Nothobranchius furzeri: one gene and its partners. The main gene of each other region encodes a partner of the protein of the gene in region 3 in a complex. Links are inferred from orthologs where the notes say so. Each region holds a gene or a part of one and is shown on either strand. Other genes may lie near its edges.

Region 1 (4,127 bases), on a different chromosome or scaffold from region 3:
CAGATCATGTCTCCTGCTCTGTAGTCCTCCACCAGTATGGCATCAGGGTGGTTGGGGCACGTAACCCTGGGCAGGGTCAGACCTTCACCGCTGTGAAAGCCAATAGGGATATATTTATGTGTGTTAATTACATAAATTACAAATCAACAAGGTGAACATAAACCTTTGACCTGCTAAATGAGGCTTGTAGGGTCTGAGATGGAGCTCTTGGGTTGTTTGTACTTCTGAGCTCAGGATGAACCACAGATTAAGGTTCTGCATTTATAACTCATCTTAATCTCTGTGGAATGAGCTAGTAAATAGTTTGGAGATAACCTTTAACCTTTCCCAGCAACAGAAGGTTTTGGGCGTCACTATTCCAAGCAGATCCCCTTGTACCCGGGAACGACGCAAGGCCAAAAATGAGCGGGAACCAAAGGAGTAGGAAGGAGTTTAATGGGATGGACCGGGGGGGGGGGGGGGGTTGGAAATCTGATAAATCTGTTTTAGGTAAATATGTAGGTCAACCTCACTGAAAAAAATACATTCAATGATTATTTCTGATTCTAACGGGTCACTCTGAGTGTTTCATGCAGGCTGAACATGAAAATAGTCTCCTACACCCATCTCCTGCATTCGCTTCTGATAGAAAACAGACGGTGGAACTCTAGGATATGAAAAGCCTGACAGACGAGACTTGGGGCGTAAGGCAAACCCCAGAAAGACTAGAAAATAACTTTATAGCAAGTTCACTAACATTCTGTTTATTGATCGGGGACTAATGAGCCAACCAGAAGGGGCGGAGACTTAGGCTCCCCATTAGCCGGATCCAGGTTTGATTACTGGCCAGCGTGGACGTGTTAATGATAAAAAAGCTGTTAATAACATGAACGTAGGATATATGATCTTATTCCTATGGGTAGAGATGTGTAAACAGATTTAATACAAGACTAAAGCTGTGAATATTCAGTCTGAACTGATCCGACTCTCATCAGAATATTTTAAACTACATCAGCCAACAATGCTGACCAACAATCAGAACTATCTGTTTGTTTGTGACTGAATGAAAAAATACATCATTCACTCACAACAACAGCTGGAACTACGTTATTATTCAGACGGACAAAACTGCTGTCTAGATGCACCAGAATGCAGAGTTCAACACTTACTTTTCTAGTATGTCTAAGGAAGCATGAACAGCATGGCCGTGCTGCCCAGCTCTACTTGTAATGGGATTACATAAATGTAACTGTGTTCACTTAATATTACATTCAGATCTTCCTCTCATCAGCCACTAAAATCATCTCACTCTTCACTGTCTCACCCTCAGCAGGTCTGGTGCTGCCTGTCTCACCCTCAGCAGGTCTGGTGCTGCCTGTCTCACCCTCAGCAGGTCTAGCTCTCCCCGTCTCACCCTCAGCAGGTCTGGTGCTGCCTGTCTCACCCTCAGCAGGTCTGGCTCTCCCTGTCTCACCCTCAGCAGGTCTGGCTCTTCCTGTCTCACCCTCAGCAGGTCTGGCTCTCCCCGTCTCACCCTCAGCAGGTCTGGTGCTGCCTGTCTCACCCTCAGCAGGTCTGGCTCTCCCCATCTCACCCTCAGCAGGTCTGGTGCTGCCTGTCTCACCCTCAGCAGGTCTGGCTCTCCCTGTCTCACCCTCAGCAAGTCTGGCTCTCCCAGTCTCACCCTCAGCAGGTCTGGTGCTCCCTGTCTCACCCTCAGCAGGTCTGGTGCTCCCTGTCTCACCCTCAGCAGATCAGATGGTATGAAAGTTGTTATAAACTGCTGCGTCTCATTGGTCTGGCTTAGTAACACAATCGAGAAATGGTTTTGTGGATTTAGACTGATTTACCTAGGAACTGTTGAAAAAAAAAGTCCCTTAATTTTGGAATAAAATCCTAATAAAAAAGATCTGATTGTGTGAAATGTGTTAACACTGTTGTGTCTTGTAAATGTAGTTTAGTAACACAAGTCAGAAGTTATTTTGAGTCATTTAGCAAATTATTCTGGAAGCTTTTAATTGTTTGTACTCGTTTACAAAGGACTACAAATTTGTTGATAGTCCCTAAGGGAACCACCGTTCCCATTAGCGAGTCCGCGGAACCCAGGTTACCGCTGTCTGTGCCGCCGTGCACGGCATGAAGACTCATCTCTGACCGTGTAAACCGATGTCTGTCGAACATCCAACTTCAGGCTAACTTCACCGCGGTGCTCAGGGACCTAGTAGCAGTGCCCGCCCTGGGACTGGGTTCACATCTCGGTCGGGTCACAGCAAAGACTTGAGACCCACTGCCTCCCTGCTTGATACTCAGATAGATTGGGGGGGGGGTCAAACCACCAAATGGTTCCCAAGCGCGGCTGTGTCTGCAGCCCACAGTTCCCCCAGGGATGGGTGAAATGCGGAGAACAAATGTCAACTAGTGGAACTTTAACTTTAAACTTTGAGAGCCGAGGGAGCCGATGGTAACGATGATAATCGCTGTAAACATCCAACGTGGCTAAGATTTGTTTACAAACGTCCAGACTGACTCGGAGCTACGCTGGTTACTTATTCACCATGGCACGAGCCTTCTCCGCACGCGAACCGACGCAGAGGAGCTTCAAACAGAAACGAAACTAAAGGGATCCGCACGGAGCTGCGAGGCGCAGCGGCGACACAAGCAGAGATTTCTGGTAGCATCTGACGTTCTCCAGCAAGCTAACTGCCACCAGACCACAACTAACCCTAAACGCGTTACATCCACAACAGCAGACCAGCGTCGTCTGTTAAAAACACTCTTGTACACATTCTTCAACTTCTCACGTTCTCGGAACTTCAACTAGAGAACAAACATGTTTTGCAGAGTTGGTCCAACTGGTTACGCACCGGCTCGTCGACGCCATGTTCTTCCTTTCTCTTCAGTCAGAGAAACAAATGATCCAGTCACCTCTATATAAATACTCGGGTCACGTGTCACTAAAACTACGGAAAGCACAAGAGTCAAAACTAAATCAAATTCTTTTGTTTGGGACGTGGAACCTGTTGGGTTTTCGGGCTTCAAAATAAAATTGTGGCAAGGCTGTAGATACCAGGGGGATGAACTCCTTCCGTTTGTTAGGAGAATGTAAACTAGTAACTCGTAATCAGGAATCTGACCCTTCAAGGGTCCCCACATGATAGAAGAAGAAGAATAATTTTTATTTATTTATTTAGTAAATTTAAAAACAAACATGGCACTTTGACAATGTTAAGTCCAAAACTTAAATTCAAAAGGAGCAGTTAAAATAACATTTGTAAATATCCAGTAAAAAGACAACAACAAGAGACAAAAGAACATGAAGAACAAGTAGAGTACAGCATTTATCATACAGAATTAGGAAATCACTTTGGAAGTTCAGCTAACATGTTATATAGATTTTCGTTATATTTGTTGAGATGTTTCAGGGATTTTAAATATAATTGAAATTCTATTAAGAACATTGAAGACAGTGGATGATTGTAAAATTCGTTGTTTATGGATAAAAATTTGGCTAAACAGAGGATGATATTATAGCAGTTCTTTATCTTTATTATTGAATATAATTCCAAATATTATCATATCTTTAGTGATGTGAACTGGGAGTGGTTTGATCCACACCTCTAGCTTTTTCCAGAACAATTGTGATTTCTGACATTCATAAAATATATGATCTATAGTTTCTATGTGGTTTTTGCAAAAAGAGCAGTTGTTGCTATCAATATTAAAACGAGCTCTTAACAACTCTTTTGAAGGATAGATTGCATTCATTATTTTAAAGTGGGTTTCTTTAGCTTTCGGTGGTATAGGTAATTTTAGGTAGATAGTTCTTATTTTCTCAACAGACGTTTTATCAGATGTGTAAATTATGTTATTTTTGTTTGTTTTTCCAGGAAAAAGAGATTCATTTAAGGGTGATCTTATTGTAAGATCGTTGCATTTTCTGTCAGTTAACAGAAGACCTTTAATAGATAAGATAGGAAGGATTGGAATACGGATTCCCAAAGTGTGGTGCGTGCGCGAGCTGCCGCTAGGAGGTGCGCGAGCTGCCGCTAGGGGGTGCGCGAGCTGCCGCTAGGAGGTGCGCGAGCTGCCGCTAGGGGGTGCGCTAGGTGAAAAGTGTAATGGCTGTGGAGCTCAGAGAAGTCTGTCAT
Region 2 (3,012 bases), on a different chromosome or scaffold from region 3:
AAAAAAATGGCAACCATAACTCCAGGAGACAGACATAATATGGATTAAGATGGGCACCAATCAAGAAACAAATAAGAAGCTCTAATAAAGTAACACTCTGGGAAAGGGAATGGGTCTCATTTACCTTCATTAGCCATTTGTTATAGAATGTGATGCCTATAGAGAAGACATAGTAGAGGAGGACCAGTCCAATAGTGCAAAGACCTCTGAAGAGGAACTGAACTGGGCACGCCATCCGGGACTTCCAGGACCAGCTGTCCAGAATGGACTGTTAATGCAGAGGGAGCATCTCCAAAATACCTCTGCACCCCACCACACCACCCATAATGGTTCACTAGAATAAGGACCTAAGGGGAAAAACAACAAACATATGAGATATGTTATTCGGATTCAACAGAACATCCTTATCTACAACAGATAATGTAAATATGTGAGATATAATTCAACTTAGATTATCTGAAATGACTGGGGGACCTCACCCTATACACCTGAAAGACACATCCGGTCTAGCTTTAACAAGCTCTAGCAGACAGCCATGACTTGTTAATGTAACTTAAAAATAAACTATTTTTTAAAATAAAGTTCTCAACTAAGGAGAGTTGTAAATAAAACCCTTCACTTCTAGGAGCGTTAAATTGTATTTTATTTACCTTTATTATAATTCTGACCAAGAACCATGCGATTTGGATTTGGAAGATGCTATAAAATTAAACCAAAAAGTCATTAAGACTGTGTTACCACAGCCACAGCGTTAGCCTACACAGCTAACAGCTAACGAGACATGTGGAGATGAACGGCGTAGCACACACATCCTACTTTACATCTAGATATAATATAAAGTGTGTCCGGTTTACCAGATGGCTTGTGAAGAATCATCACAACCAAGCAGTTGCTATCTTTAGCCGTTAGCTGACAGCTAAGCTAACGCAACTTTCGGATCTCTAAACGTTTTAACAACATTAACATAGAAACATTTAGTAGCTAACCAGCGACTCTAGTGTAGTTCTTACCGGTTCTGATCTTGTGTACACGTCTGAGCACAGAAAGAAAGAAAATAAGGCACTAGATATTTGAGCTAGTGTTTCTTTCCGCTATGTTTCTTCTTCTACGCCTTCAACGGAGGTTGACACATTATTCACAAATGCATGCTGGGTTAGAGAAGCAGAAAACAAAAACCGCCAAAAAGCTTCAACTTCATTATCATTCATGATATAGTTTGGCTAAGTAGAAACAAAAACACTCAAGAAAACAATTGGAATAGATGCAGATCTGAAATAAACCTAATATACATATGAAGTCGTTATTTTTTCCGTTTGTTGAATTCAGCCTGTCAGTGTGACTCTCATGGCTCTAATATTTATTAATTTATTTTGTTTATTTATTTATTTATTTGTGACTCGTTTCAATCTCGATTTTAAACAAGAATTTATTCAAAAGATTAGATCTGCGCTGACGTTTCAAACTCAGTCCAGTAGGTGGCGGTCATGCAATTTGAAGTTGGCGTGTCAAACGCTGAAGCCCAAAAATACCAAAGAAGAAGAACAACAACGAACGTAGAAGAGTCTGGGGATTGTTGTGATCCAGTTTTCAAAGTAAAATGTAATTTTTGTTCTCTAAAACGCATTTTGATGTTTGCATGTTGTAAGTGTGAGGTTTATCTTACAGTAAAGCGTCGTTAAGGCTCGTTTTATCGGCGTTTTCCTCCAGAATTAATGGCGGACGAGGAGGACGAGGCTGGCTTCGAGGAGGAGTTGGAGGACGGGTCCAGCGGAGTGGATGTCGGCCACGGCAGGAGAAAGAGACTCTTCTCTAAGGAGCTCCGGTGCATGATGTACGGGTTTGGAGACGACCAGAACCCGTACACGGAGTCTGTGGATATTCTGGAGGATCTGGTGATCGAGTTCATCACGGAAATGACCCACAAAGCCATGTCTATCGGGCGCCAGGGCCGCGTCCAGGTGGAGGACATCGTTTTTCTAATTCGCAAGGATCCCAGAAAGTTCGCCAGAGTCAAAGACCTCCTGACCATGAACGAGGAGCTGAAGAGAGCCCGGAAAGCTTTTGATGAAGCCAATTACGGCTCCTAATGAACTCGCGTTTGTTTGTCGCTTCCTGCTAACTGGTTTGTGTATTTTTTAGTGGTTCTCACTTGAATAACAGAACTGACTGTTTTAATGACATGTTTACACTGTCAAGTCATCGGAAACTCTCAAATAAAGTTAGTTTGTTTCAAATAAGTCCCAACACCAACAGGAAAACCAACATCTGTTATTTACATTGAAGAATGAAACTTTCTGCCAACGTGTTGGAAAGGATTGTTAAGGTTTTTTTAAGTGTTTCCATGGAAACTGCGTGAATAAATTAACATTTCATTATCTTTCCTGCTGTTTGGATTGGAGAGACTTTTGTGGTATATCAGGTGTTTCTGCAGTTTAAAATTAGAGTTTTTACACCTTAAATGTACCCGTATGTCGTTAGTTTCCTAACTTTGTTGCTGTCTGCAGAAGAGATGACCTGCTGTGGCACATCTGGCTGGGATTTCATAATTGTGAGTGTTAACCCTTTGATGCATAATGGTCACTACAGTGGACAGGTACTCAAAATTGTTATTTATTTGTTTTTGCACAAAGCACAGCTGTTGAAGACTTGATGGCATTTGAGCCCCTCCATTTGGACTTCAGTAAGTCAAGCCAACATGTTTCATGCTCAGAATGCACGCTGCCCACTGAGGTGGACATGTAATAAATTATTTGTAAATTATAAAAAAAATATATATTTGTTGAAATTTGTTTCATTCACACCTAAAGACGAATGAAAAAAATCATGGTTGAAGATTTCATAATTCATGCATCAAAGGGTTAAAGCATTTTGTAATAATGTTCACTCATCTGTTCAATCAGAACTAACCAGTTATGCCATTCAAAGATATATCTACAGTTAATCGCTCATAACATTTCCACAGAACACTTCAAAGGATCTAAACGCTTCCTTTGAAGTGTGCGTCAACAGCCA
Region 3 (3,655 bases):
AGTAAGAAGAATTGCACAATCTGGGAGTATGAACATAAAAGACAGACTTACCATCGAGTTGCACCGTAAGATCAGTAGTCATAAAACTGGCCTGTGTGTGAGAAGTGTGTTTGTAGATTTTTATATGTGGTTTGGTAATTCTTTAGTAATCTTGTCTTTTCTGGTCTTTAGTACAGCCCATCAGTGACACCAGCTGTCGATACTTCAGCAACTTACAACAAATCTCAATCATTTGCTTCTTTCATTTACAGCTGATGGTCGCCACGGAATAGTGAGAGTGGACCGTGTTCCTTTGGCCTGCAAACTGGTGGACTTACCTTGTATGATTGAGTCTCTGAAAACTGTAGATAAGAAAACGTTTTACAAGACTGCTGATGTCTGCCAGGTAAACCACCACTCTATGATTTAATGTTTGCACTTATTAGAAATAAAATGGAAAATGCATGCTCAAACCTATATGCACTGTAAAAAAACAACTAAAATAAATCAGAACTATTTTGAGTAGGGGGAAGGTAGAAGCATAAGATTATGGATTTCCAAACCCCTCCTACAATTTTAGAAACACAAAATTTTAACTCCACAAACACACGGGCAAAAACAAAACAAACAACAACGACAATTGACCAGTCTATTATTTTTATTTTTATTTAGATGCTGGTGTGTACACTAGATGGAGACCTTTTTCCTCCGCTGGAGGAGCCAACTGGCACCGACCCCAAGAGCAAAAAGAAAGATAAAGACAAGGACAAGAAATTCATTTGGAATCATGGCAGTAAGCTGATGAATATCTCTGCATAACTGAATTTTTAATAATTTGTTCTAAAGAAAAAGTCACATGTCAGCAGTTGTGGATGCAGACTTTGCCTCCTCAGCTGATTGAATCATTTTCACTTTGCTAACTCTTTTGTTTTGGTCGTCAGTAACCTGCCCACTGAAGAACACGCGCAAGCGACGATTTCGGAAAACAGCCAAAAAGAAGGTAGACATTTTTAAAATCCCACCCTCTTCCCCATTGCCCTGCTGTTTCTTTGGCATATTGTTTGATGATTCATATATTTCTTAAGCTCTGCTCCAAATGTACTTTTCATAAAACAGCCTCTGTGGTGAAAGTGAAAACCAAGATTAACATATAAAGTGTTCCATCTTTCCTCCAAAGGCATGCAAAAAGGCAATTTCACTACTGCTTTGATCAGAGTGAAAGTGAACAAGCTTGAGTGTGACACTTTTACTTTGTCTTTTGAATAGATCTTCCTGAAGGTGCTGAGCAATATTGATTTGGCTCTTCATGTTTTTAATCACAAAAGTACTTCCTGGCTTGGATCCAACAGTTTTTTGTGAGGGTGTGTGTGTGTGTGTTTGCATGTGTGTTTGTGTGGTTAAGAAGTAACCTGAACTCTGTTTGTTTTGCAGTACATTGAATCTCCTGATGTGGAAAAGGAAGTGAAGAGATTACTGAGTACAGATGCTGATGCTGTCAGCGTTCGTATCCTTTTCGACTCCCACAGTACAAAACATCATGAAAATCTCCCTAACCTGTTACCGTCCAGCAAACTAAAAGGGTTGTTTGGAAACAATACAGCTGTAAAGACAAAAAGAGACCATGGAGATGTTTATACAAAAGTTTTAGAAATTAGGTTTATGGGGCGAATATGTTTATATTGCCAAAAGGAAATTGAAATAAAAGCAAAAAACAGCTTTGATGAAATGGGGCGAAATTGTAGCCTGACCAGCTAGCTGGGAACTCTCCTATTCAAATGACCCCCCCCCCCGGAGAATTCGAACCAAGCAAATCAGTGCTGAGCAGCGTACGAAACACACCGTAACGATGAGTTTCTCATAAACAACGAAGACGGCTTCTGAAGCGGAGTTCGCTGTAGAAGAGCTAAAAGACTTTCTTCTAAAGAAAGATCTTTGCGCTGTCGCCAGAAGCCATTTTTGACTACAGCTAAAAAAAAAAACTTCAGCGTCGCGCGTTACAGTCATCATTTCCGCCTTTTTTTCTGATTGGTTATTTTTGAGTTGGCTAGTCCTGCCTCTCATGTGCCTCTCTGCCTGTGAGTAACCAGACCTGTTTACTGTGTAGAACAGAGGACGAGTCTGGCAGGGCAGGCTAACAAAATTTAGTTAGTTAAGAACTTAACTGAACAAATAGCAAGTATAAAATGTAAGAACTAACGATGTATACAGAAAAAGTCCACATTTATGTAAACAGCTTCAGTAACTGCATAAAAAATCACATTAGAATTGTTGAGAGGTTCTTGGGACAGTTTGATGCTGATTTCATGTAGTTTCACATGTTTTGCAAAACAGGAAATATGGTGTTTCATTAACAAGTTAGTTATAAAGAAAAAAATATTTAATAACAAATCTGCTAAACTCTTTCCAAAACCTATGTCTGGAAGAACAGTATCGAAAAAGATGTGCAATGTATTTTGTCCGAGAGGCATTGCTGTAGTGCGATGTCATCGGCAGGCCCCTGAGCACATCGGGCACCCTGAGTAGATCTGGTACCTACACCGTCTCTGATCTGCTTTCACATGTACATTAGTGATGTTGTAATGCCTGCGGGGAAATGGTGTGTTCTGAGAAAAGCTGGTTAACATGTCATAAGCAGGACACACCCCTTAAATTTACATGTTCCATCCCACTTCAGCATCACTAATATATAAACGTTGGTCACGGTAATGCTAACCGCAGAACAACACTAGCCCAAGCTATTGCTAAGGACCTTATTGGACAATAGGAAAACAACAAAGAAGAATGTCAGAGCTTGCATTGATCTCGGATGAATTTGGAATATTCAGACATTGAATAAATACCAGAGCTTGGTCCACACCTCAACCCCCCCCCCCCCCAATGTCCTGAGAGGATGAGCAGAAAACAGTGCTCAGCAGTATTATGTATGACAGTAGTCTCTGTCGAGGCTGTGGTGAAAACCTGACAATCTCAAACTTAACTGTGATGTACACAGAATTTAATATCTCACATTTAATCCAAGACCCAGCAGACTCCGTCCCACCCAGCTCTCTTTATCTGGCTCCGTGTGATGCTTTTGTGAGGCAGACACTGTGTGAAAAGAAGCTATTAGAGCTCTAATGAAACCCTGAACATTTCTGACAGAATAAGAGCACAGCGGAGCGGCTTTGTCTGGCTGCTTGCTGTGTGTTATTGAGACGGTCGGTTCATTATTGTTTGGTCACAGAGAAACTAGATTCTGTTTATGTTTTTGTTGCTAAATGTTGTCCCTCAGGTGTGATTCATAGAAGAGCTTATTTAGGTTCATCTCACAGGATTTGAGGTATTTTAGTGTTGGATTTTTTTAAAGATTGGCCCTAACTCAAGATGTTCAGGATGGGAAATTATAGCAGAGGATGAGTCCAAAGAAGCAGACCAGCATGGGTCTCTGGCTAATCTGGACTCTTCACCTGGTACTTCAGGACATAAGGGTCACGGGTCCTCAGGTAAATGTAAATACACGTTCTGTTTGATGAACAGCTGGTATGGACTTTGTTGACAAATCTGGGGTACAGATTAAGACTCTGATTGTGACTGCTTTCTATAAAACCATACATAAATCCTGAAAGGACGAAAAGCCTGAATTTCTGCTTTAGTCCCTCAGGAAAAGCTAGCATAGATCAGATCTTTATACATTCGT

The links.
Region 1: taf7 (region 3) and gtf2b share a complex: the UniProt entries of both Homo sapiens proteins name them as parts of the TFIID-containing RNA polymerase II pre-initiation complex. The link is inferred for Nothobranchius furzeri from reciprocal best matches to the Homo sapiens genes TAF7 and GTF2B.
Region 2: taf7 (region 3) and taf13 share a complex: the UniProt entries of both Homo sapiens proteins name them as parts of the TFIID basal transcription factor complex. The link is inferred for Nothobranchius furzeri from reciprocal best matches to the Homo sapiens genes TAF7 and TAF13.

Annotation. Positions count from the first base shown.
Region 1 is NC_091751.1:71,417,640-71,421,766, forward strand, and holds the start of gtf2b (transcription initiation factor IIB), read right to left. Parts: upstream 2,936-4,127; 5' UTR 2,861-2,935; coding exon 2,844-2,860; intron 91-2,843; coding exon 1-90. UniProt on the Homo sapiens protein: General transcription factor that plays a role in transcription initiation by RNA polymerase II (Pol II). Involved in the pre-initiation complex (PIC) formation and Pol II recruitment at promoter DNA.
Region 2 is NC_091755.1:48,193,815-48,196,826, forward strand, and holds taf13 (transcription initiation factor TFIID subunit 13), read left to right. Parts: upstream 1-1,477; 5' UTR 1,478-1,592; exon of another isoform or gene 1,593-1,599; intron 1,600-1,665; 5' UTR 1,666-1,712; coding exon 1,713-2,087; 3' UTR 2,088-2,377; downstream 2,378-3,012. Other genes in the region: slc35c2 (solute carrier family 35 member C2), read right to left, coding at 125-235. UniProt on the Homo sapiens protein: The TFIID basal transcription factor complex plays a major role in the initiation of RNA polymerase II (Pol II)-dependent transcription.
Region 3 is NC_091741.1:82,931,221-82,934,875, reverse strand, and holds part of taf7 (transcription initiation factor TFIID subunit 7), read left to right. Parts: coding exon 1-65; intron 66-251; coding exon 252-385; intron 386-651; coding exon 652-772; intron 773-920; coding exon 921-979; intron 980-1,410; coding exon 1,411-1,483; intron 1,484-3,350; coding exon 3,351-3,461; intron 3,462-3,655. UniProt on the Homo sapiens protein: The TFIID basal transcription factor complex plays a major role in the initiation of RNA polymerase II (Pol II)-dependent transcription.